Alligator mississippiensis: one gene and its partners. The protein of the gene in region 2 interacts with the protein of the main gene of each other region in a pairwise test. Links are inferred from orthologs where the notes say so. Each region holds a gene or a part of one and is shown on either strand. Other genes may lie near its edges. The genes, in order: TRIM41, NCK2, MEOX2 and VARS2.

The links.
Region 1: the proteins of NCK2 (region 2) and TRIM41 interact in binary tests that used the Homo sapiens proteins (3 or more experiments, as listed by UniProt). The two-hybrid records come from large-scale screens. The link is inferred for Alligator mississippiensis from reciprocal best matches to the Homo sapiens genes NCK2 and TRIM41.
Region 3: the proteins of NCK2 (region 2) and MEOX2 interact in binary tests that used the Homo sapiens proteins (3 or more experiments, as listed by UniProt). The two-hybrid records come from large-scale screens. The link is inferred for Alligator mississippiensis from reciprocal best matches to the Homo sapiens genes NCK2 and MEOX2.
Region 4: the proteins of NCK2 (region 2) and VARS2 interact in binary tests that used the Homo sapiens proteins (3 or more experiments, as listed by UniProt). The two-hybrid records come from large-scale screens. The link is inferred for Alligator mississippiensis from reciprocal best matches to the Homo sapiens genes NCK2 and VARS2.

What each region holds. Positions count from the first base shown.
Region 1 is NC_081834.1:51,430,697-51,437,892, forward strand, and holds the start of TRIM41 (E3 ubiquitin-protein ligase TRIM41), read right to left. Parts: upstream 3,057-7,196; 5' UTR 2,519-3,056; coding exon 1,559-2,518; intron 1-1,558.
Region 2 is NC_081824.1:347,833,341-347,841,202, forward strand, and holds the start of NCK2 (cytoplasmic protein NCK2), read left to right. Parts: upstream 1-4,652; 5' UTR 4,653-4,933; intron 4,934-7,862. UniProt on the Homo sapiens protein: Adapter protein which associates with tyrosine-phosphorylated growth factor receptors or their cellular substrates. Maintains low levels of EIF2S1 phosphorylation by promoting its dephosphorylation by PP1.
Region 3 is NC_081828.1:164,601,385-164,608,623, forward strand, and holds the start of MEOX2 (homeobox protein MOX-2), read left to right. Parts: upstream 1-3,949; 5' UTR 3,950-4,255; coding exon 4,256-4,766; intron 4,767-7,239. UniProt on the Homo sapiens protein: Mesodermal transcription factor that plays a key role in somitogenesis and somitogenesis and limb muscle differentiation. Required during limb development for normal appendicular muscle formation and for the normal regulation of myogenic genes.
Region 4 is NC_081834.1:53,002,566-53,010,236, forward strand, and holds the start of VARS2 (valine--tRNA ligase, mitochondrial), read right to left. Parts: upstream 3,348-7,671; 5' UTR 3,246-3,347; intron 1,864-3,245; 5' UTR 1,779-1,863; coding exon 1,545-1,778; intron 260-1,544; coding exon 178-259; intron 1-177. Other genes in the region: zinc finger protein ZFP2, read left to right, coding at 5,987-6,115, 6,739-6,949, 7,385-7,468. UniProt on the Homo sapiens protein: Catalyzes the attachment of valine to tRNA(Val) in a two-step reaction: valine is first activated by ATP to form Val-AMP and then transferred to the acceptor end of tRNA(Val).

The DNA of each region.
Region 1 (7,196 bases), on a different chromosome or scaffold from region 2:
GCCTCTCTCCGCACAGTTCCCTTCCCCCACTCTCCTGCTTCCCTTATCTTTTGAATCCAAATCACTCTATTTGATAGCTTGCTTTTTATATGGCTTTTCTGGGAAAATGTTAGACTAATTAAATCAGAGATGCATGCATCTCTACCCTGCATTCTTCCTGGCTTCAAAGTAACACTAAGTAATCTCTTGCAGAAATAGTACGGCTACAAATTTCAGTCATGGACTAGGGCCCTCACTGTGCTTGCCATTACAGATAAAGAACAGAGACATGGTCCCTACCCCAAAGAGCTACTAACTAAGAGTAAGAGACAACAGGTGAACAGTCCAGTGTGGTGCTAGCTGATGCAAGACATCCAGGCAATTTTTTAAGTTCACAGTATCTCTTTAAAAATAAAAATGTCTCTTTTTTTTCCCTATTTTTTTAAAACACTTTTGGGTACTGTGTAGATAATAAACATCTCACTAAACCTGTTAGCAGAACCAATGTGCTGATTAACTGCACAATCTCATGGATAGAGTTCACAGTCTCCCCTCCAGACCCCCACTGCTGCTGTCCTCCCCGTGCAACTTACTCTTTCACCAGCTCAGGCCCAATTTTGGATGCTTATCTCCCCAGGAGGATCTTTCACAACATTGATTCCTGAGAAATCCCCATACACAACACCCTTGTAAAAGATGCAAACTACATACATAATCAAAGGCTCTGATCTTAGAAGTGTTTAGCAGGGGGGGTCATGATGGCATCACTGGAAATTAATAAAGCAAGTAAGAAATTAGATTTAGTACAAACAGGAGTCAATTAGAGGACTCTTAGGCCTGGGTTATGGAGGGGTCAATCTAGTGATGGCAATGGTCCCCTCTGGCCTAGTAGTCTGTGAATCTAAGCGCACACCTGCAGGAGTTACAAGCCCTTAGCCTCTAACCCAGAGGTGGGCAAAATGCGGCCCAGGGTCCAGATGCAGCCCGCCAAACCATTTTATCTGGCCCCCAGGGCCCCTGAAAAATTTAGAAAATTCGTATTTATCTGCCCCTGGCTGCCTATCATGCAGCCCTCGATGGCTTGCCAAAACTCAGTAAGCAGCCCTCCATCCGAAATAATTGCCTGCCCCTGCTCTAACCCATGCCAACGGGCACCAATTCAGCCAGACTCTGCCAACCTTTGTTCATCTTTACCAAAACACTCAGTGGGATTAACCTCGCTGCTCTACAAAGCAACCCAATTCACACCACACAGCCCCGGGGCATCGGTGCTACCTGGCAAAGCCAACGTAACCATGTAAACTCCTACCCCAAACCAGCACCTGAATGAACTAAACGCATCTCCTACCTGCAAAACCACCCCCATAAATCCAACCCCTTAATCAACTTCACAAAGCAACCCAACGCTCCCAAATCCAGTTTCCCCACAAGCCAGTTGACCAACAGCCCTTACCAACCACCCAGTCAAGCCAAGCACACCCCCCTCCACGACCGCTGCTGGTCACCCACCCGTCTCCTGCGCCCCAACCCCGACAGCACAACGGGACCTCTCCGGATGGCCCCCACAACCTCCTCGTACCTTGTAATCCTGCACCACCTCCTCCAGGGGGACGACGCTGTGGTGCTTGTGGCTCCGCGACTCCCTGCACACCACGCAGATGGCCTGCTCATCCACCTCGCAGAAGAGCTTGAGGGGCTCCTGGTGCTTCTCGCACAGGGCCCGTCCCTCCAGTCCCCCGGGCGCCACGGCCGCCGCTCCCCCGGGCCCCCGGGGGGCCGGCACCACGAGCCGCTGGGGGTGCGGGTGCATCTGCCGGATGATCTGCACCATGTTGGCCAGCTGCAGGTTGGGCCGGAAACTCCTCTGGGGGAAGGTCTTGCGGCACTGGGGGCACGTGAAGGCCTGGGGGCGTCGAGGCCTGGGCAGCAGCAGGGGTCCAGGCGGTGGTGGAGGTGGGGGTGGCTGCTCTTCTTCCTCCTCCTCCTCCTCCTCTTCCTCCACCTCCACCTCCAGGTCTTCCTCCTCCATCACGTCCTCATCGTAGTCGTCGTCTCCGAAGAACAGCTCGGCACCCACGTCCTCCTCCCACATGTCGTCCTCGCCCGCGTCTTCCCACAGGTCGGCGTCCTCATCTTCCTCGCTCCACATGTCGTCTTCCTCTTCTTCCTCCTCCTCCTCCTCCTGGTCCAGCTCGTCCTCGTCCAGCTCATCCTCCTCGTCCAGCTCGTCGTCCTCCAGCTCCTCGCCCATGCCTACGTCGCCCGCGGGCGCCGCCGCCGCCCCGTCCGCGTAGGCCGCCTCCCCGCCAGCCTGGCCCGGCCCGGCCCCGTCAGCGTCCCCGTCTCCATCGCCATCGCCCCCCCAGAGCTGCGCGATGCAGACGCGGCAGAAGTTGTGTCCGCAGCCGATGGACACCGGGTCGGTGAAGTAGTCGAGGCAGATGGCGCACACGGCCTCCTCCTGCAGCGAGTCCACCGCGCTCAGCCGCCCGCCCGGGCCGGCCCCCGCCCCCGCCCCGTCCGCCACCGTCGCCGCCATCGCCGCGGACCCCCGAGCGCCGGAGCCCGGGCCCGCTCGGCGCCGGCCGGGGACACTCTAGCCCGACACCCGCCGCTCTCTGTGGTGCTACGTCATGTGACCGGAAGTGCCTCGATCTCCGCCCCCGCTGGTGGTTGTGTTTTAACGCCCCCCGGGACTATCTAGGCCCCGTCTCTCTATGGTTTTCAGGCCGCCCGTTGCGCTGTCTCGCCAGGGCGACACAGCGGGCGGCGACTTTCTAGCTTCGCGTTGCCGGGCTCGATAGTCTCCCCGGAACTGTTGGGCGGAAGCGCCGGGTTGCCATGGGAACGGCGGCACTCTGCTCTCACACACAGGCGGCTCTATGGTTCTCACTCCCGGAAGTCGGGAAGAGCCTCTGCCGCGGGTCCGATCCCTTCCCCGGAAAAGCGCGACCAGCTGACCCCAGTCTCTATGGGGGCAACACCGGAAATGGAGCTAGGGCATGCGGGGACGATCTGCGCTCAGCCCTGCTGCCTCTCTATGGTCACAACCACCCCACCTCCCCCGCTCAGCAACTCTGGGAAGCAACGATCCCTTCCCAGAAGTGCCGCCGACGCTCTGTCCCCTACTCTCGATCATTTCCGCTAGGAGGCGAGGGCGCTCTAGCCGCCTCTCAGTGCCTGGGAGGTCGGGGGCGGGCACCCGAAGGGGCGGGATCGAGTGGGGGATTCTTTACCAGAGGGGCGGGGCCTGCGCAAAGGGGCGGGGCTCCAAAGCGCGAACCTTGCTTCGGTGAATGAAGGGGCGGGGCCAGCACAGGGGGGCGGGGCTGAGAGGGGCAGCTCTGCGGTGGGGGCGGAAAAGGCAGCGGCAGCGGCCACGGCAGAAGCAGAGCCTGCTCCGGCTGCAGTCCTTCTTCTTCTTCTTCCTCTTCGTCCAGACGCGACATGTCTGAGGCATAGTCTTTCCTCTTGATTTATTCCGAGCAAAGGGACATGCGAGGAGATGATAGCAACATCATTCAAACGATGATTAAATCACAGACCGAGCCCTGACATATCGGCATCGAGCTTCTATCGGCCAAAAAAATCCCCCAGCTCCTGTTGCCCGTGACTCGCGCGGGGAGTGGTCATCCCAGGTTCCCTGTGCGGTGTTTCACTCCGGAAGCGACACCCAAAAACTTTCCTGCGGTCAATTTCTCCGGGATTAATAGCCCATCGATTTGGAAACAAGTAGCAGTTCTTCAGCAGTGTTTTACGAGCTCAGCGCACACCAGCCCGGCTAGCTCAGTCGGTAGAGCATGAGACTCTTAATCTCAGGGTCGTGGGTTCGAGCCCCACGTTGGGCGAGTGCCTTTTTTGGGGTTTTTTTTTTAAGTTTAAAACATTTCTTCCTTTCTGTTCAGGATGTCGTATGAATTTCTGCCCCTGCAGCAACTGCAAGCTGGGTTGGTTTGAGTTCTGGAAGAAATCGTAAGGAGAGATTGTGGAGAAGGCACTTCCTACACAGAGCGATTCATAAAACCAAATTAAATTCCCATTTTATTCTTTTTCCTCCCTCAGCTAGGATAGCCAAACAGCCCAATGGCCAGTCATCTTTTGCTGCCTCCAGAATGAGGTGCACTCAGAAAGATTTCTTCGGAGACATTACAAATCCCTGGTGGAGGATCTGAGTGATAATGCACAGCTCTGTCACCAAGTTAGTATAATGTCTCATGCCCAGCAAGATGGGAAAAAGGAGACGTGTCCAGCTGACAAACCGCATTCCCTTTTGCAGACAAGGGTCTTTAGGTAAAGGTGATATTTTTTGATTTCCCACCTCTGAAAGTACTGCTTATTTCACTCAACCGCAACCTTTACCAAACAGGTGATCTGATCCAGAAGGATCTTGAGGGTGGGATAGGGTGCAAGGTTTTTTGGCTTTATGCTGAAAGTAATTGAATATCAGTTTTCAAACCCAGGTGGTTTGGGGCTGTATTTTGAGGTTGTTTGGGGGGGGGGGGGGGTTGTTTTGTTTTTCTTTTTGCCTTGTACTTATTTCTTCTTTTCCAGTGAATTTGCATTAAGGTATCTGGAACCCTACCTGGGGTGGGGGGTCACAAGACCTGGCTGTCCAAAGGACAAGCTATATCCCCAGGTGTGGCAGGATATCCAGGCTGTCAAAAGGACACGCCACATCCAGATGCGGACCCGATGGATCAGGCTGTGGCCACTTCGATGAGAAGCTCACGCAGCTGGTTTCTGTAGTGTAGTGGTTATCACGTTCGCCTCACACGCGAAAGGTCCCCGGTTCGAAACCGGGCAGAAACAAAGTGCTTCCTTTAAACTCTTGGATGATGTCTTATTCTTGGAGATGCTGCGTTGAATGTGTCATAGGGGAACGGATGCAGACTGAGAATCCAGGTGAAGAGGATCTCACTCTCAATATCCACATTATGTTAAAAGGAGACATTGATCTTTTTTCTCTTGTCTGTGTGTTCTTCCCTTCCTCTAAAGCAGTAGTAGCTGGCTACTTATTTGTACATGTGTGTGAGGGAGACAAGGGTTAGGAAGTGATGGCACTAGTCACAGGACATACAAACTGCACCTCTGACTCACTGCCACATACTTTCTCCCCACCCATGGCCACCCCCCACATCGGGTGGGGAAAGATCCTGCTTTTTTATCTTCCCTTTCACTGCAGAGTTGGGCCTGATCCTCTTCCCAAGATCAGCTGAGCATGTTCCCGTCAAACTAATTCCCTACTACTGCAGTGGGAACGCGTTGATGACCCCCTTGCTTGACCTGCTCTTTACCTGGGGGCACATTGTAGGCGCTCACCGTGGAGCATTTATGGCTGTGGCCTCTGAGAGGTCTCACAGCTTGTACTTGCAGCGTCCCTGGGCAAGTGGCTGTGTCAAACACAGTGGATTAGGTGGGGTGGCTGCAGAGGCCCCTTCCAGGCTTGTTATTTCAAATCTGCCCTCTGCAGATCCTTTCCCAGCTGTGTCTGGGTTTTGATGACTGTTGCTACCTGTTTTATATCATTCAGTGTCCAGGTTTTTACACTCAAGGAAAGATCTGTAAAAGCTGGAAAACATCAGTATCTGCTCCTGCACAGTGCCCAGTGTAGGCCATTTGTCTGGGTTCTGAGGAGATTTTCTTCACATCGCCGGTGTCCCAAGTAGGTGTGTAACTAAGCCACATGGATCCTAAGGCAAGCCCCCATCTGGTAGGCTTTGTGTCCTCAATCGGCTACTCTGCTACTCTTCGAAGTAGCATTTAAACAGAAGCCTTTGCTTTTACTCCTTGAAGAACTTCAGGTGTATCCAGGTCTCTGACATACCATACCTCTACTGTCAGAGGCTGTAGCTAGTTTCTGTAGAGTAGTGGTTGTCGCGTTCGGTTCAAAACTGGACAGAAACAAAGCCAAATCTTTAAGCTCCTGGCTAGTGGGTTGAGCATGGTTTTGGGGGATTCAAGATTCAAGATCTCAAAGTCAGCCTCTATGTATACAGTGCATTTTGCCTGGCTGTTGACTTTTGCTTGTGGGGTTTTTTGTTTTTTGTTTTTTTTGTCTGTCCCTTACTATAAAGCACTGGACACTGAGTACAGACTGGGAGCCCTACTCCCCGTACTTAAGCACAAGTGCAAATGTGGCTCACACCTTCATGACAAAAACCACTGCCATGCTTGAAGTCAGAAAGGTCTCCTTCCCCACCCCTGTCAAATGGGCAAGGACCCTGTGTTTTTCTCCTTCCTTTTTTCCCTGCAGAATTGGATCTGATCCTTCTGCTAAGATCATCTGACCATGTTACCATCCACCAAATTCCCTAGGGTGTAGTAGCAAAGCAGTGAGGACCCCTTTGCCTCCCCTGCTCTTTACCTATGGCACCTTGTAGGAGCTTTTCACAGCACATTTATGGCTATGGCTTTGGAGAGATCCCAATGTGCTTGTGACCTCTCTGGTCAAGCCTCAAACAGTGAATTGTGCTAGGTGGCTGGGAAGGCTCCTTCCAGGCTTGTCCCAAACCTAGTCTTACCATGGACTTTCCCAGCTTCCCTGGCCTTTGACCCCTCTACTATTGTTGCTAGTTATTCAGTTCTCAGGTCCTTACACCTGAGGAGAGAGAAGTAAAAGCAGGAAAGCATCGGTACATGCTTGTACAGTGCCCAGTATACACCATTTGTCTGGACTCTGTGATTTTTTCCCTGTGTCCCAGGTTCTTGTGTAATGAAACTGTGGATTCTAAGGCATGCGTGACCCAATCCTTGTGGCAGCGCAGCCCCAGCCCCTTCCCCAAGGTCTGTGTGCCAAGCAGAATGTCTTGAAGTGCCATGCTGTGGCACCTGTGCCAGGGGTTCATAGATTCATAGACGTTAGGGGCTGGAAGGGACCTCATGAGATCATCGAGTCCAGCCCCCTATCATAGGCAGGAAGTCTGTTGCAGTCAAATGACCCCCGCAAGATAAGCATCCAAACACCATATGAATGAGTCCAGAGGAGGTGCTTGCACCACCTCTTGTTGGGGAATCTGTTCCAGACCGTGGACACTCAGATCGTAAAGAAGTTTGTCTTTATGTCCTGTCTAAATCGGCTTTCCAGGAGTTTGTGACCATTAGACCTTTTTATTCCTTGGAGAGCTCTGGTGAACAACTGTTCTCCCAGATCCTAGTGCACTTCTCTTACAGTCTGCCATCCTGAGCCTTCTCTTTTGCAGGCTGAAAAGTCCCATTTC
Region 2 (7,862 bases):
AAACCTCTTTTTCTCAAGGGAAAGCAAAAAAAAATTAAAGTTGTTGTCAAATGGTTGCAACTTGTCACAACCCAAAGGTGTGATTTTTGTTTTTGTGTGTGCTTTGGCACCACTGAATTATTTTCCCACCGTTTGAAGCTTTCTTTGCAGGGTGCATTTCTTCTTTGCAGCATAGAAATGCATGTTGCAAGGAGTTCCCGCCATTTGTATTTAAATTCGAGCCCCATTACTGGTTGCTTTAAAATTATTCCCACGTGGCGGCTAGTGATTGGCTTGCCAGCCGTATAAGAGGCTTGGGTGGTTTCCGCCCAAGTCGGAGAACTTAGAGCACGCTGCAAAGTGCCTCTACGGAGATTTGACCTGAGGCTGCTGATCGATAGACTGATCACCTATCGATTCTTCTCCCCGTCGCCGAGCGCAACCCTCGACGTATCCCTCTTCCCTGCGCACAAACAAGGATCCACGGAGCCTCGACAACTCTGTGAGAGTGAGAGTTTTGTCTGAGTCCTCAAATGGGGATTTAAGCGGAGCTTTACCTGGGAAACTTTCCAGCCTACACTGCGACCATCTACGGTGTAAGTAAACAATCTTGAATCAACCACTAAGCGTCCATGCCTAATTCTAGCGTGTCGCCTGCTTTCTCCGACCCAGCGTGTCTGGGCTGCTGGCCAAAGCCCGAGGCACGGAAAAAGGGCCCCGGATCGCTCCCGGCCCGCACACAACTTATTAAAGTTTTAAAGTAACTTCCTTCCTCCATAACTTTAATATTACTTGCTAAAGTCCCGCTATTTTGGCCTTCTCCACTCACCTAAACCCCCAATGATTAAAAAAAAAAAATTAGCGGGCTTCATGTGGGCAGAGGGGTCTGCTTCCAGAAATTATGGCAAAATTGGATCCCAAATAGTAACTTTTTAAAGAAGAAATTCTACTTTTAGGTTGAATTTTTCCATGCTTGGTTTCAGCCAGAATATATGGCTAAACTGCACATCTTGGATTGCATTAACATACACCAAATATGTACTTATGCACAAGGTCCTGTATTGTCTTCCAACTCTACTAAGTCATGTAATAACTATACTTTTTAACATTTTCTAATAACGTTTTTTCTTTTAAACAGGTATTGTGAGAAAATCCTTTCATCATTTTTAAGTTTCTAATAAAAAAATAAATAAAAATAATCTGTTGTCTTGATATCTTAACAAAGGAAAGCATTGCCTACGTCTGCAATACATGGTACTGCCTCCCCGAAGGCATTCCTGATTCCATACAGGTTTGCAAAGCAGAAAAACAGTGCACCTTTTGTTTTAAACTCAGGACATAGGTTGACAAAACGCACATACTGTGTCTCATGTGGAAAGCAAAACAACTCATTTTACTGAGGCACAGCTACACTCTGTTGTAATATGCATGTTGTGGGTTTTTTCTGAAGAAGTTTTTATTTAAGAAAAAAACAGTCAACTGACTTCATAAGCATTCCTGGCTTGCATACAGACTTATTTCTTCTTGTTAGGGGTGGCAAACATGGACAGATCTAGGATTTTGAAAAGGGGGGGATGCAGATGTGTGGCACATCATCACATATAGCACAACGCATTTTTCTCCAGTTAAAGAGAAACTAGATGCTTAACTGATATACTAGGGGGCTAGCACTATATTACTCAGTTTAAGATCAAAGCAAAAGCAAATATAATTATTGGTATGTGCACAAATTTGCTAGATTATATATACAGTTTAAAAATATATAAGAAGCATGGCAAAAAAAGAGTCTAAAGATAGAATCATAAAATCAGAGCAAATGAGGGTTGGAAGCAACCTCAGAAAGTCATCTAGTCCAACCCCCTGCTCAAAGCAGGACCATCCCCAGCTAGATGACCCCAGTCAAAGCTTACTATAGCCAGGCTTTAAAAACCTCCAAGGATGGAGCTTCCACAACATGTTTGTTCCAGTGCTGTACTTCCACCCTGGTGAGAGTTTTTCATAATATCTAACTTAAACTTCTCTTGCTGCAACTTGAAACCATTTCTCCTATTTCTGTCGTCTGCCACCACTGAGAGCAGTCTAGCTATATCCTCTTTGGAAACACCCTTCAGGTAGCTGAACACTGCTATTCAATCCCGTCTCAACCTTTTCTTCTCCAGACTAAATAAGCCCAGTTCCCTCAGCCTCTCCTCATAAGTCCTGTGCTCTAGCCCCCAAGCCATTCTCGTTGTCCTCCTCTAGACTCTCCAATTTGTCTGCATCCTTTCTGGAGGGGGGCGGGAGGGATGTGCAAAACTGGGCACAGTACTTGAGATGTGAGCTCACCAGTGCTAAATATTGAGAGAACTGGTTATTCCCTTCTCTTCTGGCAACACTCCTATTAATGGAGTCCAGTATGCTGTTAGCTTTCTTGGCAACAAGGGCACACTATTGGTTCATATCCAGCTTATTGTCCACTGTAACCCCCAGGTCCTTTTGTGTCACTAGTTCCGTGGTCATTTTAGTTCAATATGCATCTCTCACTCAAATTCATAACACAAACTCTCCCCATGCCTGAAGAAGGGTGTTTGTGCCCGAAAGCTTGGAAAGAATAATTTCCTCAACTATTTAGTTGGTTTAATAAAAGATACCATATCTACCCAAAGAACCTTTTCTGCCTAACACAAAATCTAGCCTTCTTCAGTGTCTGAACAGTGCCTCTGATACTTCACTGTCACAACCTGAGTTAATTTTATTACACCCGAGTTAAGTTTTTTAGCTAGAGCTAAAAACAGTCTGTAGGGTTGTGAAATGGAAGAGTGGCATTCCCTGGAATAGTTTAGAGACATCACAACATTGCAAAAGCAAGGATAGTTTGAAGAGTGGAACATCAGGACCATTGGAAAGGGGAGGGTGTCCTTAAAACCTGAAGGGGAGGAGAGATTTTTTTTTTGGAAAATTTTTTGTATTCCAAGTTGAATTAGCCAAATCAGTTCTGAATCCTCTCGATTAAGCAACATTCAGTTGTTCAAACACTATATGTGGGGCTATAACCCGCAAGTATCCTCCACCCCAGACTTTTCAGCCTGGGGCTTCAGATACTCCCAAATCCATTGGCAGGCATCCTACATGCAGGCCCAAGACTGGAGGGCTTAGGGTTTGCATGCCCCTGAGTCTCACTTGTCCTTAGCCAATGACCACAGGAGCATGGTTGGGAGGAGTCCCCCCATTTCCATAAAGTAAGTGTGTAGCCAAGATCCTCCCACTGGAAGCTGGGCACTGGGAAGCTAATTACAAGACTCTTAGAGGGCGTCCTGTCCTCTGCATTGGACAGGGGTGCACCCTTCACTACATAATGCCATTTAAATCCCTCTCCGTCTGGGCAACAGACCAGTGCAGCGGCTACACTTGATCTTAGCCCACAAGATGAACCATGAAGTCAGTTGGCTCCGTCTAGCAATGCTGCCATCATTGCCAGGCAGTTGGCTTTAAAATTTTGGATGCAGGGTATAGCTGCACCATGGCACCTGCACCCTTGGACCTGCCCTTGGCATGGGGGTGGGGGCGAGAGTAACCCTAGCAAACACGTTTAAATGCAAAGTCTGCAAGTCGACAAGGGAACAAGTCAGGAGAGGCCAAGCTGCTGGGATCTGACAATGCCAATCTGATGAGCAGGGATACTGGTTTTCTCCGATTTAAAAAAAAAAAAAAAATCCCCAATTTTCCAAGTATAAAAAGTAACCCAAAATCCACATGTTCCATGATTAAAATGAAACACCACTATATCTATTTATATATTAGTGCTGTTTCATATTTGGGGTTAGTAGATATATATGTATACATATATATATATTTGGGTCAATATATATAGTATATAGTTACTATATATACTATACTATAAATAGATATGGGTTACTATATATACTATATATAGAGTACATAGTTGGTTACTATAGGTACTATATAGTTACTATATATATATATATATATATATTTGGGTTACTATATATATAGTGATGTTTCATTTTAATCACAGAAAAATGTGGATTTGGGTTACTTTTTTTACTGCCAAAATTGGGGATTTCTTTTTAAATCAGAGAAAACCAGTCACCCCGCCCTCACCACACTCTCGCCCTCCCAGCCTATCCCGCCCGCTGAGGCGAGCACCGACAGAGCCCAGCTCGCCCCGCCCCACGGGACAGCCCCGCCCCCTCGCAGCCGGCTTTCCCCCTTAGGTCCCGGGCCGCCTTGAGGGGGTGGGGCTCCCGCGGCTGACGTCACGGGGAAGGCCTAATGGGGCAGCGCCGGGCATGTCTGGGTTGGGGAGGGAGCCCTCAGAACGGGCGTCCCTCCCTACCATGCCCCTTGCGTCTTTCTAAAGGCGGGGCTCCCGGGATGACGTCACACAGGAAGCGCCAATGGGTGGGTCTGGAGGGGGCGGTAATCTTTGGGCTATTTATAGCTCGGGCTGCAGTTGAATCGGACAAACGGTCTCGGCCCGTGTGTGAGAAACGCCGATTCAGGGGCTTTGTGCAGCCCTGTGTTGCTTCCCCCCCCCCCCCCGTAAAGGGGCGGGGCTTTACCCCCGAGCGCCCGGTTGTGGGGGGCGGGGCGTGTGCAAGGCCTAGGAGGGACTGGGCGTCTCCATGGCGGGGGCGGGGCGGGAGCCCGGGCGAGGGAGGGCGGGCTCAGAGGCCGCCCCCTTCCCCCGCCCCACGGATCCCGGCAGCGGCCGCGGCAGGAAGGGAAGAGGCAAGCACGGAGGAGGGGCCGATGCCGCCGCCGCGGGGCTGAGCGAGGCAGCAGCCGGGGCCTGGGGCAGCGCGTCCGTCCGGGAGGGGCGGGTGGGGGGCGGCCCCGCGGGAAGAAGGAGGCGGCCGCTGCTGCTGCATCCGCCGCCGACGGGAGGGGGAGCGGGACCCGCCGAGACAAAGAGCGGAGCCCGCCGGGGAGACGCCGCCGCCGCTGCCCCCAGGTAGGCGCGGCCTCGGCCCTTGCCCGCTGCCGGGACGGGAAGGGAAGGGAGGGGAGGGGAAAGGAGGCCCCGGCCGGGCTCACCTGCGGGTGTGGGGGGCGCTGCTCCCGCCACGTCCCGCCCGCGGCGGCCTGGGTCGGGGGTCACGGGCCGGGGCGGGGCGGAGCCGGGGCCTGGGAAACTTGGCGAGGGGAGGGGCCGCGGGGCGCAGGTGTGCGGGAGCGGAGCCCCCTCCTCCGCCTCTCGCGAGGGGTCTGCCCGCGTCCCTCGGGCCTCATCCGACTGGGACCGAGACGGGGGCTCCGTTGCTTTCCGCTCTGCCACCTCCTACCCTTCGGCTGCAGCCGTGTCCCGTTTCGGCCCCTGCTCCCTTCCTCGGGCCCGATCCCTGTGGCCTCTGCTCGCTTCAGCCTTAAGGACACGGGTGTCCCTTCAAGAGACCCGCGCTTTGGGCGGGACTCAGCTTCTTGTGCCCTCAGTGAAGCAGCTTTATAGGGTTTAACGTGTTCAGCATCTGCGGGCTTGTCACCTCCCCCGCTCCCCCCCCCCCTTTTTTTTTTTTAAGCTCTGTGCCATTGTCTTTGAGCAGTGGTGTGACCCCCGTACTTGTCACCGCTGTTCTTCAGCAGCCGTTCAGGAACAAACGCAGCTGTGTAGGCTCAGGTTTGGGTTAAAGACAGCTCAGGGTGCTTTTAACTTGGCAACAAAGGCAATTGGTCTTGAAGTGACTCAATTGTTTCGGAAAGGTAGCATCACGGCGGTCGAAACTAAAATGCTTGGGGTCGCCCCGAGCGGTGGTATCGGCAACAAGGGGGCTGGCACGTCAGCCTTTGTAGTTATTCCTCGCTGAACTTGAGCCAGGATGGCAGCTGCCGACAGCTCTGGGCAGGGATGGAGGGAGGTCCTGCTCTTATAAAGATTGGGATGGCGATTGGTAGTGTGTGTCTCGTGCAATACATAACAGTCGTGAGGGGTTTTGTTTGTTGTGGTTGCTGTTAACTGCATCTGAATCAGCTGCCTAGAAGTGACACACGTGTGCTCAATTTTTTAAGTGATCTCCAAGATTTCCCCTGCAAAAGAAATGCAAAGATTATGTAGTCATTTGTCTTCTGCCTGGTTTCCCTACCTTGGCCTCTGCCTAATAAGTGTCTGAAAAACTGAAATTCCAGCTCCCTCTTAGCTTTCTTTCTCTCTCTTTTGCAGGGGCTAGCTGTCTCTTCTGTTCCTCCCCTTCATTTCCTTTTAAAGTTTCCTGGCTGGTTGCATGGGAGGGGGAGGGGATCGCCTTTACCAGTTTATTCCTTTTATCATCTCTTGGCTTTTGCAGGGGAAGGATAAGGAACACTCTTATTTCTGCTTCTTCCCTCATTGGACACAGTGCTCCACCAGCAAAACAGCTTCTGTCCTAAAGAGACAGGCCCTGCAAAAGAGCTGGGTTGTTCTGTGGAAAGCTGCTTTTTGACTGCTATTAAACTTAAATTGAAGCTAAAGGCAATGCCCTTTTTTACCATGTTTTCAATGTGCAGAAATGATAGAGTCTGCAGCTTGTAGAATGAAATCTCTTCAAACCTCAAAAGTTAAGTAGGGTAGGCTTTGGTCACTTTTCATATGGAAGACCTCCAAAGAAATCTTGAGTTCATATGGGTAATTTAATAAGAGCCCCTGTTTGTTCTTTTAAATCAGTCAAAATGAAGTGTATGGTGATGTTATTGGGCACTGTGTTGTTTCTTCATGCAGCTGAAAACTTGATGACTTGGGTCTGTTTAAGAATCTGTAGTACTTGTATGTGTGGGTATTGATTGAGGTTTCCCAAGACAGACACCATTTTTGATCCTTGCACATTTATTTGGGGAACTCCTTCTTCCCATCTTCCTTTGTTTTGATTAGCTACATTAGTTGTCTTGTAAGAAATTAGACTGATTACATTTTAGTGGTGGGTGAAATAACAAATCCCTAATCAGCTCTAAATAATTATTATAAAAAAACCCTTGCTACATAAATGTAAGATTTAATTTTTAGTCCATAAATAATAGTACAAAGAATACATTTTAACATTTGAAAGCATGAAATAGAAAAGAAAACTTACTTTTTAGAAGAGATCAGTAAATTGTGTTCTACAAAAGAAATGAACATGCTTTCATTGTTAATAAAGCAGAGGTTGCTAAATGTTAAACCTAAGATTAAAGTACTTTTTGTGTAGTTGCCTGGTTCAGCAGGATGCAAAATTTTAAGATAGAGTAGTCTGTTACAAGTTCATACATTCAAGTGAGGAAGAAGACATCTTGTCTAGAGAGAATACCAAACCTGTTAATTAAAAACCATTCCAGGAGCAGTAACGTAGGGTGATCCAATTGCTTGTAGTAACATTTCAGAAATATTTATTTCGTATCATGAAAACTTCTGTTTAATTGGAGCTCGGAATTGTGACATTTGCCAGAATGTGTATACCCCCCCCAGTGACAGAAAAACTTCTGAGATTTCCTTTCTTTCTTTCCTTTTTTTTTTCAGTGGGTGGAAGTCAGTGTAAAAATAATAGAGTAGGTAAAATTCGAGAGGGCCACGTGTAAGAGAAAACATTGTAGGTTCTCCAAAGAATGCTGCTATATGCAGTAAATGTAAGGTTTCATTTGTTTTGTATTAATTTAATGTCTGGGTTGAAAAAACTTAAATGCACTTAAAATGGGGGGTGGGTGTTATAAGGTATTAATGGTTAGTACTATGTTCTAGCAAACAGCCAGGATATCTTGGTTGGCCAACATTTTAGTAGAAGGGGATGGTGATAACCCTCATCAGAAAAAAAAATAGTTTGATATTTAATGTTTTGGGGATGCAGATAATCTGCTGTATTTTTTTTTTTTTTTAGTGGTGAAAGGACTACATATTTTGGAATATTTGTGAATGGATGAAACTGAGGGCTGGGTTCAGTATA
Region 3 (7,239 bases), on a different chromosome or scaffold from region 2:
AAAAAAAGGAAATGCAAGAAATTGTTCTCACTGGACTGTATTGGCAGTCTATTTTAATGGTATAATAGAACCTTGTAAAAATTATTTTTAGTGAGGGCCTTCCAGTTCAGCACACTTTTTATGTAATAAATTAAATTGCTGGTGTAGCTTTAAAATTTGTAATGCTTTGAGATCATGAAAATTAGAATGAAGTCCAAGTTTATATGGGAGAAGTAACAATAAATATAAACCTGAGTGTTTTTTTTTAATAGACAAGCTGTACGATTTTTTTCCCCAAAATTATGTCTGATACATCTTACATTTGTAACTGCATCAGAAGGCAATGGAAATACACCACCAAAATACCATGTTAAAAGTTATGCATATTAATGACGTTTTCTTACAAAAGGTCTTTACAAAGTACAGTGGGTATTTGTTCTGTTCTAGATCTACAAACAGTAAAAGTAATTTTCATCACCTTTTAACTGTCTGTAGATATTCTTTGTTTCTGACAGGTAATCAACAAATTACTCATTTTCAGTTAAAGGTAAGATAGCATCTTCAATATTAGGTATTAACCTCTGATTTTGTTTTTACTGAGATCTGTAAAACTTCATTGCTAGACAGAGCAAACTGCATTACTTCCAAGGGAATTAAGTAGCAAAAATACCCTCAATCAACAAAAAATCTGAAAATAAACATACATCTGTTGTGAATCTGTATTGGCTCTAATGTTGAAGTAAGGATGCCTGCCTTGACCAAGCTGCCCTGAAAAAATGCACACTAGTCATAATTACAGCGCAATAAAATTCCATCTTTTTTTGATAAACCCTTAGGTATAATAAAATCTGTGGATAAAAGGAGCTAAAATAATATTTTTAAGCTTTATATTTTGATGGTAAGGGGCATTTCTTGAGCTGGCAAAAAAATTAATAACACTGATTTCAGTGAAACCATGACAATTCATGTAAGTGAAGGATCTAACCCTAAAATATTTCCATTTGTCTCATTGTACTGTAGCATGCATATACTAACAGGGCACAGACCTCAAAAGAAATGGGCAACACCCCTAATTATCAGCAGAGCTATTAACACTAAAAATATCAGCAGGGTCAAATGTTCAGGGTATTAAAACCTGTTCTAAGAGCCTGAACAGGAGTATAGTACAGGAATTCTGAAGCAGAAGGCACTCCGCCTTCCTTCATATGATTTCTATATCTTGCAATACATTTTAAAATTAAAAAACAGATGCAACCATTAGCTCATTTTAGGAGAGGATAAACGATGTCCAAAGCTAGGTTGGTTCCAGCTGTTTTATGAGCTAAATGGTTTACAGTTCTCAAACATCTAAAACCATTCTTTTATTTTCACTTGGCATTAGAAGTTTAGGGCAAGTTTGTTGACACTGACTACTCCCACATGTAGATCAAAAGTGCAATATAGAAAGAGATAATAATATAAACATGAAACCAATCAATAATATGGAGCTCTAATAAACCTTCATATTTTGCTTCATAGAATTGCTTTTATTTACAAGTTTTACATTAGAATTTTCTTGATTTTTTTTTTTTTTATGTTTCTTTACAGCCTGTTTGCTGAAAGCTGCTTTAAAATTATACAAGCCACTGTGTCACAAATCTACAGATTAGTTATAGACTGATAAATCCATAAGTGTATTAACTAGGATGTTGCAATAAACTGTTAGCTACTAATTTGCTTTAACACCCATTGCATGGCTGTGTTTGCTTATGTTGCTTCAAATGAAAAACCCTTCAAATTCTTGTTTTGCTTACAATGAGAACTTTTGAGACATGATGAGAAGAGAGGCAGGTATTATGGGAAACAGAGGAAGATTAATTTTAGATTATATTGAAAAAAGTATTTAGCTCTCTGATTTTCCCCTCCATCATTCCCCTTTTACCTTTTGGATGCTCTTCTTGTACAAAAAAAAAAAAAAAAGAGTGCAACATGGCTCTGACTCTTGCTTCTCTTGGAAAGTTAATCTTTACTTTTCCCACCATCTCCTCTTTTGCTTCACTTATTCTGCTTTTTATCGTAGAAAACATGTGCCAGTGCCCCCTAACCTCTAGAGTTAAACAACTCAACTGAGTTTGATCTGGAACATTATATTTTTTTAACCCGTTCTTCAGCTGTTTAGATATTTTATGCCTCAAACGGTGTCAGTCTCGCTCTTTGCCTTCTATTTTCTCCCTCCTTGTTCAACATTTCCAGAGCCTGATTGACTGACAGCAGCAGGTTGGTAAGAAACTTCGGGACATGCTGTTAACATCTGACGCTGGAAGAGTGCTCAGCCTGGGCACGTTAAGGGAAGTCGCACCTATTAGAGATGAAAGAGCTCTGTGCCTGATGACTATTTACAAGGCACCTGAAACAAAATGCATTCCCTCCCTGTCCCCCATCAGCTGTTTACAGTCAGAGGGTTTGTGCTGGAATAACCCCCCTCCCAAAAAGAGAGGGGAAAAAAAAAAGGACTTGGATATACTGCATCCATTGCATGAATAAGTTAGGGGTAAATTTTGTTTTGGCTCCTCCTGCAAAGCGGTGCTAACAAAGCACTCCCGTTAGTGAACCTCTCACGGTTCCTCCTTCCTGGGGCCCTGAGCACTACGTCTTCTGGACCAAGCAGCAGCGCTCATCTCGCAGCGCTGGGTGCTAAGAAAACAAGTCACAGCTCAGGCATCGCCTTTGCTTTGTACGCTTCCTTTTAATATTAGAGCACATATTGAAACGATAAACAATGAAACGCACAAAATATTTCATCAGTGTTGTAACTGAATATTTCCTTTATTCTGAAGCAATATCAAGGGGTGACCAGTGCAAAGCAGCAACAAGACTTACTGCTGCTTTGGACATCACATTAGATGGGATTGTTACAGCTAAAACTAAGTTAACACACTATTTTGTTTTGGGGTTTTTTTTCGAAAAAAAGCATTAGATCTAAAAAATTTAAAAAAAAAGGGGGGGAGGAGGGAGGGCGACTCTTACCGTCTAAAGACTGCTGCAGGTTCCGGCTCAGCCTGAAACTGCCAGGGCAAATGCAGCAGCTGCTGAACAAAAGTTTTTAGATTTTTTTTTTTTTTCGCGCAGAAAGTCTGCAAAACTAATTTCCCACAAAATAGGGCTCAATTTCCGTTTAAGTAACTAGCTCTTGCAAATCTCATGCAATTCCTGATTTTTTTTTCCTATAGCGACTGAAATTCTTTTTTTTTTTTTAATTCTTGACACACGGACTCCAGAATTAAGACACAAATGGCAGGACCCCTGCTGATTTATTTATTTGGGGGCGGGGGTTAAGACAGAAAACGTTGCTTGTGGGTGCTCCCCCTTGCTCACGCACACGTTGGTGGGGGGGTGTACAGGTGGGCTGCGCTGGCGCGCGGCTCCACTGACTGCATCCCCTGCGAGCAGCGGCGTCTCAAACTCTCTCCGCCGTGTCTCACCTGAGACGGCGAAAAGCAGCGTGGGGAGGTATTAGCTGCAGTCAGAGAACAGGAAGATGTGAGAGAACTTGGTCCTTTTGGTGTGTGTTGGGGGGGTTGTTTTGTGGTGTTGATGGCAGCAAGTGTCTTCCACTGACCATGAGGCGCTGGTGTAACCTCCCGCAAACTCACTCCCTGGCCTCTCGGCGCCCGTTTCCCGCCCGAGCCCCGGGGCCAGCAGAGTGCGGGGAGCCCTGTGCAGCGGGGGCCACGCGCGATCGGCCCAGCGGAGCGTTATTCGCGCTGTTTGTTGCTGGTCACCCCGGGTGCGGCAGAGGGCCCGGGCCGGGGCTAAGGGGGCAGGTGTGGGGCCAGCAGGTGAGGCCGGCAGGGGCGCGGGTGCGAAGCGGGCGCCGCCTCCAGCGCGCACACAAGTTCAGGGGCGGATGCGCGCAGCAGGAGCGGAGCCGGCCCCTCCTCCCGGGGGGCGGGGGGGCGAGCAGGCGGGTGCGCGGGTCCCAGGCGGCGGCGGCGGCCCCGCCCGCGGCGGGCTGGGCCGGGCCGGGCCGGGCCGGGTCCTGTCCTGTCCTGTCCTGTCCCGCGGACGCGGGGCTGCGGGACGCGCCGGAGTTTCGGAGGGAGTTTGCACGCGGTCAGCGCGGCGCGGCTGAGCCAGCCCCCGGCTCACGTTACACGCGCCTGTATTTATAACCTCCCGGTAAGCGGCGGGTTCCCCCTCAAAGCCGCGGCGCGGGACCACCTTCCCCGCCGCTCCCGCTCCGCGACAGCCGCGCGGCGCCGGGACCTGGCCCTGGATTACCCGCGCCCCGCATGCCATGGATCACACCCTTTTCGGCTGCCTGCGCAGCCCGCACGCCGCGGCGCAGAGCCTGCACCCCTTCTCCCAGTCCTCGCTGGCCCTGCACGGACGCTCCGACCACATGTCCTACCCCGAGCTCTCCACCTCGTCCTCCTCGTGCATCATAGCGGGATACCCCGGCGAGGAGGGCATGTTCGCCAGCCAGCATCACCGCGGCCACCATCACCACCACCACCATCACCACCATCACCACCAGCAGCAGCAGCACCAGGCGCTGCAGACGAACTGGCACATCCCCCAGATGTCCTCCCCCCCGGCCGCGGCCAGGCACAGCCTGTGCCTGCAGCCCGACTCGGGCGGCCCGCCGGAGCTGGGCACCAGCCCCCCGGGGCTCTGCTCCGGCGCCTCCAGCCTGGGCACCAGCACGCCCACGGGGGCGGCCTGCGCGCCAGGGGACTACGGCAGGCAGGCTCTATCCCCGGTGGAGACGGAGAAGAGAGGCGGCAAGAGGAAAAGCGACAGCTCAGGTAAAGGCTTCCCCTTGCATTGGGGGCCGGGGGGAGAGGGTGGTTGCCTCCTGCCTGAGGGCCCCGGCGACACCCGGCTTCGGAGCGGGTCGTGCCTTGACCTTCCCTCCTGCAGCCCGTGGGGCCGGGGCATGGACACGCCGGCACGTGACAGCGCCTGACAGGCCGGGCCAGGAGGTTCCCGCAGGGCCCGGGCCCGGCGGGGGCAGCTTCCTCCTGGCGCGCTCCGCCGCCCCCCGCGGGAGCCCCGCGCCCAGCTCACCCCGGGGTCAGGGGCCGGGGCCGGGGGGCTGGCGCGGCTCCCGGCGGGAGAAGAGCTGAGGGATCGAACAGTTCACTTGGCCTATCTGGGGGGAGCCCCTTGCCCCCCTCCGCCGTCAAAAAGTAAAATCGAAAAGTTTCTCCCATAGTATCTTGGTATTGGTGAGCCGCGCAGGGAGATGGTGCTTGATCCTGGGGCTCGGCGACAAGTTTCCCCCGTGCTCAAATGCCATTCTTGTGAATGGCTCCGCCACGGTAGCAGGGCTTCTCTGGGAAGGGATGGCATTTCTAGTACACGGGGAGGAAAGAAGGTGTGTGAACACGTGCACACCCACCCTCTCTCTCCTGAGATGTGGGCACGCACACACACACACGCACACTAGTGGGACAGGCACTGTAGTAGGACATGCATTCACACTCTAGTGGGACAGATGCGTCACAGTCTGGTGAGACGCAGGAGGTAGTGGGATAGGGCAGTACACACACACACACACACACACAGAGTAGTGAGACATGCAGGAGGTAATGGGATAGGGCAGTGTGTGCAGACACTCTCTCTGTGTCTAGTGAGACAGGAAAGTGTTTCCCCCATTGGAAAGTCAGGAGCAGACAAACCAAGTTGTACACTACCAAACTTTGCAAAACCGGGCTCTGTGTTTACAAGTTGGAGAGAGTCATGGCTTCAATGCTGAACACTAGTAAATATTTGGAAAAAATCCTTTCACTTTCTCTTCTCTGGCAGCAGTTGGTTTTTCTTTATAAAACAGAGTGGTTCTCCCCCCCCCCCGCCCCCCCGTCTTTTTTTTGCTCTCCACATCATCCAGAAAGCGTTGTACCCCGACTCGCAATAAAACACTAGGTTAGTTAGTAAGCTTCTTATGCACTAGGGAATCTATTGCTTATATAAAATAAAAATATACTTCCAACTATAAAAAAGATGCTACTTATGGGCATTTATTTGGAATGACATCTATATCTTATTTTATGAAACAAATTGCATGTACTTGACCAGGTGAAAGATGTGGTGATTATTTTCACCAGTTTCTAATGAAAATAATTTTAAGCCATATGGTGCATGAGAGGAGTCTGTGAACTCATCAATTTATTTACAAAGGCAGAAAACAAGAGAGAATTCATCACTAATTTATAATGCTAGGGAAATGTTCATTACAGTTTTTCATTTATTGCAGTTTGCAATGAAAAAGCCCACACCCGTGCTGAAATCGTATCTATCTCTGAAGTCAAGGGTGTCTTTCCAATGGCTTTTGAACAGTATTGATTGAGACTTTAGTTGTGATGGCTTCAGTACAATGGTGTAATCTAGGGTTTGCTTTCTAAGGCAGTATCTGAATATAAAGCTGCAGAGTGGAGGCATAAAACTGTTTTAACCCAAATAAATATATTAATCTATTTATTATTGCAAAGGCTTGAGTCAAGAAGGCCTGCCTTAAGCTTTCTTCAAAAGAGTGTTGCCTGCATGCCACTACTCAACCCCTCCCACTTTTTCAACCTGAGCTTTTGTCCTAAATATTCAGTATTATGGTAACTTATGACACCAAAACCTGTTTTTAGGTCAATCAGTCTGTTTCTGCAATTACCAGCAGTTATTGCTTATTTGACTACTTTCAGTGAGAAATATACAGGATGGATTATTTTGTTCTGAATCAAAATCGTGTTCTTTTATTTTTCTTTTTGTCTTAATCATACCTTTTTTTTATAAAAGTAATGCTCATTCTGAGAAGTTTAATCCTCCACTTTAATGCATGTTTACATATTAAATTATGATTGTAAATAACGAAAGAAGGAGGCTGTTAAGTTAGTGTGTGGTGGTCTTAGACACCAGTAATTTAATGTTAGTGTATATTTCAGGATAAATTTAGTATGCTTGAATTTACAACACGAATTTAAAGGAAACATTAGATATATTTTTACTCTGGCTATATTCCACATTTCAGAACCAAGTTAGCTTTGAGGTTGCCCATGTCTTGAAATATTTTGCTTTTATTATTGTGATTTTTTTGACATCAGGAATGCTGACTCATAAAGCTGAGGTTTGAGACTTGTCGTCTTAAGAAATTAACATGATTAAAATTACTTGCACTATTATTATAAAAAGTAGCTATATTTACTCAAGCTTATAGAACTGTCACACAGATTTGCTAGTGGAGATGCACAATTTGCCTATTTTTCCCTATAACGATGGGAAAAAAAA
Region 4 (7,671 bases), on a different chromosome or scaffold from region 2:
GGTTAGCCCTGAAGACAAATGTCTCTGACAACCTCTCTCTAGGGGCAGTGTCAATGTCTGGCCTAGGGAGCAGGGACAGACAGGAAGGTTGCTCCAGGATGTACCTGCGTGACAGGGGATGCCTATACCAGAAGGAGACTCGAGGGGGCACAAGGAATGACGTTTTCCCCAGTGTACCTTTTTTCTGACCAGGCGCAGTGGGGATGTCATACAAAACCACATCTTTTGGTACCCATGCCTTAGACCGCCTCTGAGGCACCTGGGAAAGAGAAAAAACAAAGAGGATGCTGAGAGAGAAATCAGTATCCATCTCCATATAAACTACCCCACAGCTATTTAACAAAGTGCAGCTATTTACTGTGTTGACGATTACAAAGGCTATTTATACAGGGGGCGGTCAGTGCTGGAATGCAGGTTGGGGTAGGGTAGCTGGTTAACTGGTGCCCAGCACCACACAACACGGTAACAGGAAAGGATAGAACAGCCCTCTAGCCCAGGCCTGCAGATCCTGTATGTTAAAAAGCCTGAGCAAAATACTCAAATTCTCTGAGCATCAAGGTTCCCTCTTGCCAGCCCTTCCCTCCTGAGCATTCATCATTTCCCCAAGTGTAAGCACAAGAACGGCACCAGTAACATTTCTATAGCACCTCACTCTCAACCACTGACTCAGCTGCACTTTACTCCATCCGTAGCACCACAAAACTGTGGGGACCCCCGGTAAATCTCCTTTGGGCCTTGGTCAAACTGTCCTTCTATGAGATCAGGACGGAGATGCTGGCTAGAGGGGACCTGGGCAACTGTGAGGCTCTTTCTTTCCTTTCTGTGGACTTCTCTGAGCAGAATTTCACTAGATGAAGTCCACTGGCTCCCTAAATGCCACCGAGGAGCAGTGGGTGCTGGCTGGGACTCTTTGCTCCGTAACTTTCCCTGGCACTTGGTTACTGACCTGTAACCTTCCCTTACCTCCCTGTTTTTAAACCTGTCATCCCAAACACTTACTGTGTACCTAGTGACCTCTCTTTAGCTGATAAGGATGGTCTGACATTCCTGGTGGGCCTCATCCTGCTGTCACGGTGCAGCAAATAGGTCTGTCTTTCCTTGCTTATGAGCTAATGGCAAAACAGATGACAAAGCAGGGAGACTAAGTCCTAGGAGGGCTCCACCCAAGGAAAAGAAATAGGAAGAGCTCCACCACATAGAGCCATTCTAGGAATCAGCCCGTCCACTACTTGTCTCTCTCATGCTTTCTGCTTGCTGCCACCTTGAGGTAATGTAGATGGAGAGGGGCAGTTTGTGCAGCTTGGGCAGGTAGAGGAGGATATTTAGGGTGGCTGAAGAACAGAGATGCAGACCCGTCCTCAGTCTTAGCAAAGATGTGGCACTTGGGGCAGAGGTGACTGAGAATGACAGAGCCTTAATCCTGCTCCCTGCAGCACAGATCTTCCAGTACTGCAGTGGGGCACTGGGCTCAGCACTGGCTGTGAGGGGACTGCACCAGCTAGAGAGTCCCCACACCTTCTCCCCAGTAACCCCGGAGCCTTTACCGCTGACTTCTGGGCCACTCCAGCCTCAATGGACTCCAGTCTCTTGTGCTGCCTCTTCTGCTTCTCTGCCTTGTTTTTCAGCTGGGTCCAGTTCTGTGCTGAGATCCTGGAATCGGATGAAGCTCTCCATCCGGGTGGGATGGCCCAGGGCCCAGGTCTGGTCCAAAGCTGAAGCAGCTGGTGGAGGGAGCTCAGACACCGACTCCTGATGGATCCATCCCTTTTCAGCAGCATGTTTAGGAGCAGGGAGGTCCAGCTGCCAGCTGAAGCCCATCAAGGGGAAGGGGCCCCTTTGTCTGGCGTGACACAGAGGAGGGACCTGCAGAGTGCAACACAGAACAATGCAACCTGCCTCTCGCTCCGCCAGCGCCATAAAGGGCTTGATGCTGGACAAAGAACAGACTGGGCACAGGCAGCACAACACAGAGCACGTGCAACTCCACATGCAACCCAGGGGTACCAGCTCCCTGCTGCCCTACTGCACTAGACCCCACTTTCCTCCTGGGGAAACTGGCAAGGCAGATGCAAGTTTCTGTGTCTATGTCTGTATCTGATACAGGGACATTTTTTAAGGGGTATTTTTCTTTCTTCTTATTTGTCCCCTCTGAGGCCGGATATGGAAGAATTAGAAGTCTGGGGCAAATACTGAAAGGACACTTTTTGCATGGAGGCTTCCCCAGAGGGAAGCATGAAAGGACTGTGCAACTCTTGTTCACAAGGAGGATGTTCCCCCCCCCCCCCGTCCCCTTTTCAAAAGCCTTTCTAACAAGTCCCAAGATTTTCCAAACTGAGCTTCTTTACCTTTGTTTAAAAGGTTAAAAACAGCTCATGCCAATCCCAGCACCCTGCAGGCCTACAGGCCCTGCCTTGAGATGCCACAGGCTTTCTTCCTGGGCAGGTAGAGCAGTTCTGGGCTCGGGAATCATCCTGCCCCCGGCTCCAGCTCCAACTCTGGTGCAGTTGATCACAGTTCTAAGGGAAAGGGGTTGCCCTGGCTTGTCTCACAGCCATGCCCAGCAGCCCACATGTGTACAGGTGTGTGTGAACATGTGCATGTATGTTTGTGCATGTGTACGAGTGTGTGCATGTCTATATGTGTCCATGTGTGCATATGCACAAGTGTGCATGCATATGTGAAGGTATCCATGCATGGATGTGCCCATAGGTGACTGGTAGGGGGACATGGGAGGGCATATGGCCAGATGTGCATGTGCGTGTGTACAAGTTTGAATGTGTCCATGTGCAGGTGCATGAATGTGCATGCACATGTGTGTGTCTATATGTGTATGAGTGTGCATGCATGCACGTGTCCATGCCTGCACGTGTACACACTGAGCCATACATGCAAGTGCATGCACGTGTGTGTCTATGTGCATGAGTGTTCATGCATGTGCACACACGTGGCCATTCGCGCATGTGGGTGTATGAGTGTGCATGTGCCCATACGTGCATCTGCTTGCATGAGTGTGTTTGCACGTGCACGTGCGTGGTTGTGCGCATGCGTCTGTGCGCGCGCACACCCGTGCCCGGCCGCAGCGCCTCGCTGGGTCTCACGGAAGCAAATCCGGCTGAGCCGCGCGCGAGCCGGGCCCGGGGGCCAGCGGCAGCCGCCATCTCTTGCCCGGGCCCTCCCCATTCCCGCCCGGGGCTCCCGGCCGCCCGCCCTGCCCCCGACACGACACGACACGCCACGACACGCACCAGCCGACGGCCCCGGCTCCAGGTCCCGGCGCAGGGGCGGCCATGGGGCGGTGCGACTGCTGGGCGGACTTCCTGGTGGGGGCGGGGCCAGGGCATGCCCCGCCCCTCGGCTCTTCTCCCTGCCGCCGGGTCCAGAAAACCACCGGTTCTCGGGGCGGGAGTGGTTTGTAGGGGAGGGGGAGGGGTGCTCCGTGCGGGAGATCCGTGACGCAGCCAGCGCGGGGGGTGTTGGGAAGTCTGTGTCTAGGTGCGGGGCAGCGCTGCGGGGCTGGGGGTCTGCTCCTAGCGCAGTTGTTGCCTCGGGTGCTCGCCGTGGCCGGGGGGCCGGGCCGGGCCGGCTGTCCCGGGCGCTGTGTTGCTGGTGGAGGGGCAGCAGCAGCGAATCTTGACGTCATAGGTGACGTCCGCAGGCAGGTGGCTGTAGTCCTTGGTGCAGATTGCCATACCGGGAAGTCAGATCCCAGGTAACTGGCACTTTCCAGGGCCGCAGACGAGTTGATTTGGTTCAGCGCCCCCAGATCTCAGTAAAACAAAGACATTGAAATGTAGCGATCAAAGCGCATTTGTCTTTGCGCTTTGCAGCTGTTCCGGCACCTGCCCAGAATGGCTGCTCCCATCCTTCCTAGGGGCAGTGGGGTAGATGGAGCGGGGCAGGACACCCAGCTCAAAAACGAAGCAGCCATGCAAATGTAAATCAGCTCCCCCTTAGTCTTGCACGTGGGTGACTGCTGCCCCCTGAGTGGGGGGGAGCACGTGCCCCCCCAGCAGCCAGTCATCCACAGGGAGGTCCCTCGCGGCTAATGGTGCCCACCGTGTGGGGGTCCCCCTGCATCCAGCCTCACCAAAGGTGGGTGTGTGTTGGGGGAGGTCTGTCCCATCCCTGCTCTGATTTCTAGTGGCTTGTCTAACCCCCCGCCCCCAGCACCAAATTCACCAACTGCAGCTAGAGTGCAAGGGAAGTCCAGGCAGCCCCTGACTGCCCATTTCATGGCTTTTTCATGGCCCATTTCATGGCATCCGGGAAAAGCGCATTTCATGGCTTTTCCCGGATGCAGGGCATGCTTTGCAATGTGATGGGGCCTGTGTAGGCCAACAGAGGCACAGCTAGGCTGGAAACGTGCTCTTGGAGGTTTCTGCCTGAAGGAGAGAGGCTTTGGCAGATCACGGACACATGTGCCCTGGGACTCCACTTGCCTCCCACCTGGCCCAGCCGGGGCCCCACTCCCTTCCTCACCCCAGGGGCCTTGATCTGGACCCCGCTCCCCTGCTTCTTCCTCCGCAGACTTACCTGCTGGGGGGGTGCACATGCATGCCCCCGCACATAATTTTTTCTCCCTCTGCCCCCCATCTTTCTCTCCCTGCAGACTGACCTGCTGGGCGGGGGGGAATGGCACACGGTAGACCTTGGTTTGGACTTGCATTCAAAAAGCAATCTTGTCCTTAAAACTGCTTTAAGTGAACGTCCTTATGCCTAGGGACTTGTGTTTGTCCCTTCCCATTGGCCTCTGACCCTAACCCCTGGGACAGTCGATACCAAGTCAGTTCCTCCCCAGCTGTAGCGATTGTGCCTGACACTGCAGGGGGTTGTTACAACTGGGCAGGAGAAACTGAGGCAAGGGGGCTGGGAGCAGAGTGAGGCTGGGAGGGGCAACCCCCCCCCCCACTAGTGCCTCCCTGAGCCCAGCAGGGGAGGGGGAGGGTCTCCACCCCTTGGAGCAGCCCTGCCCTGCCCTGCCGGCTGCTGCCAACAAAGGGTTAATGCAGGGAGAGGGGGAGCTGCAGCAGGTATGACCTGTGGCTGACTCCATGGTGGGAGGAGCCCAGGGTTTGTATTGCAGCTCCCAGGAGCCCTGGAGACTGCAGGGAGGGAAGAGAGAGTGAGGGGCATGGGGCAGGGCAGGGCTGGGCTGGGGGGGAGCAGGAGATGTGTGCTGCTTTCTCTGCAGCCTTACACCTGGGGGCGAAGACCCTGCCCATCCCCCCGGAGGAAGGTGGGGAGGGGGCTGCAGGGTTTTGTCCCCGGACCAGAGCCAGACCCCACCTGGGTGAGGGGCTCTGGGCCCTGACACGTGTCCAGAGGTTCTGGCTAGGAAGAGGCCCTGGGCTGTGGGGCTGGGCAGGAGGAGCTGTGCCCACTCCAGGTGCTGTGGGGGCACTTGAGGGACCCTGGGAGACAGGCTCATGAGGGGATGTGGGGCAGGAGGCTTGGCTGGTGACCGGGAGGTGTTGGGAGACACTGTCCAGACCAACGCAACCTGGCCGTGGTGCAGTTGCGTGGCTGTGGGTTGGGGCTAAGAGGAGCTGGGGCCATGTGCAGGGCACTGCGGGAGGGGCTGTGAGGCTGGGCAGGGCAGCTGTGTCCCTGTGGCAGAGGGGAGTCAGCGCTGTGAGGGCACTGGAGGGACAGTGGGGATGTGGGACATGGGCCACTCCAGGTGCCTAGCAGGTACAGCAGGGCCTGGCGGAGGCTGAGAGCAGGTGTGAGGCTGGGGTGGGGAAGGAGCTGTGGTTGGGGGTTTCTGGAGCTAGCCCGGTTCCTGCTGCGTACGTCAGGCAGGAAGGGAAGCGAGGACAACCCTGAGGCTGCTCTGAGTGGGCATAGCCGGGGGTGACGGGGCTGGGCAGACCTCAAGGCAGGGACAGGATCACGGTCCCGGATCTCTCATCAGGTGGTGAAATCTGTACTCTCTCCTTTCCCACAGGTGGCCCTGGAGACCAGACACTGTCGGCAGGTGCCATGCATGAGTGCAGGGAGAGCGAGAGCCCAGGGCCCCGGCTGGGTGAGGCCTTTCCTGGTGGAGACAGTGGCTGCTGAGCTGAAGCCCATGGCAGCTGTGGACCTTCCCTTCACAGCCTTGGTGCAGCCTGAGGTGAAGCTGGAGGAGCAGGACCCAGGAGGTCTTTGGGCAGGAGACGGGGGGCAGGACAGCTCCCTCCTGTCATCCAACCTGGGGTCAGGGAGCATCCCCGAGGTGGTCGGCACCACGTGCAGTAAAGCAGCAGCTGCAGGAGCTGGTCCAGTGCCAGGAGATCCGGGGGTAGGAGATGATGCAGGCCATGCAGCTCCCTTCCCGAGGCTTAGATTCCTTCAGAGACCCCACAGCTCTGGAGGATGACCTCCCCACCCAGGACCTGGTCTCAATGCTTCAGGTGCCTCTGCTACCCAGAAGCCAAGGGGTCACGGGAGGCTTTTGGCCACCTGTGGGACCTCAGCCAGCACTGGCTGGATCTCCAGAGCCACAGTCAGGAGCAGATTCTGGAGCTGGTGGTGCTGGAGCAGTTCCTATCCATCCTGCTCCAGGAGATGCAGAGCTGGGAGTGGGGGTGCAGCATGACCCTGGGACAGGAGGAGGATGAGAAGCTGCAGGTGAAAACATTTCATCCTGATCATGGATGCTGCTGTCCCTGTCTCCATGTGCTTGAGAGATGTTCCCTCCCAGCCCCATCTCTCCCAGATCCAGGCTCCCCAGTGACTCATTTATCTGGTTTCCAGGTCGCAATGAGTGGGGAGGCCGAGGAAGTGTCCTCAGACGAGATGCAGCAAACTGGGGCACTGCAGGAACCTAGTGATTCCTGGGCAGAGCTGCCAAATGCCCATTGTGCGGAAAGGCCTCTGGAGGAGTCAGGAGACATGGAAATCTCGGGGCCTTGGGACAAGCCACCTCACGTGCCCAGAGAGGAGCCCCTACCCCACCAGGAGTCAGGTGAGATACAGGGTGGAGGCCTCCACGTGGGTTTGACTGCCTGCGTGTCTGTCCTGCATGCAGTGGGAGAGGCTTGAATGTCTGCCCCAGCACGTGACAAGGCTGCAAGATTCATAACCATGTGGCTGAGCTGGGACAGACCTGATCCCTGTGTGTGGGCAGCTCTGAGGCTGAGAACCCTGATCTTTCTCACTGCATGTGTGCAGCACCCAGCACAGAGAGGCTTGCTCTTGCTTGGGCCTTGTTGTGCTGCCCTGGTAACAATCAGTGATATAATTCACATTCCAAGAGTCAGTGTTCACTGGACACTTTCTTATGCCCCCATGAGTCCTCTGTGCCCAATAAGGGGCTGGTTCAGGTGATGGGGAAATGAGACTCCCCAGTGGCCTCTGGCTGGTTCAAGTACAGCTAACCCAGACCTCTGTCCTACTGCAGACTTCCCTGAAACCAAGGAGACCTGGGAATTGTCAGCACATGAAAGCTGCTCAGGCTGGTGCCCCGGACAAGGCCCAGAAGCAGGTAAGGAGCGGTGGTTCTTCCCTTTCCAGCAGCAGGAGGCACCGTCCCTCAGTGGAGAAATCTCTCTGCCACAACATTTTGATGGGTTCAGTGCTCCAGCAAATCAGCAGTTCTTGTTCTTCTGGTGCCCCTGGAATCATTTCACATGCCCAGGAGAAAACTGACCTTGCATTTCCTCTCCCCCTGCCCTTAACATGTGGATG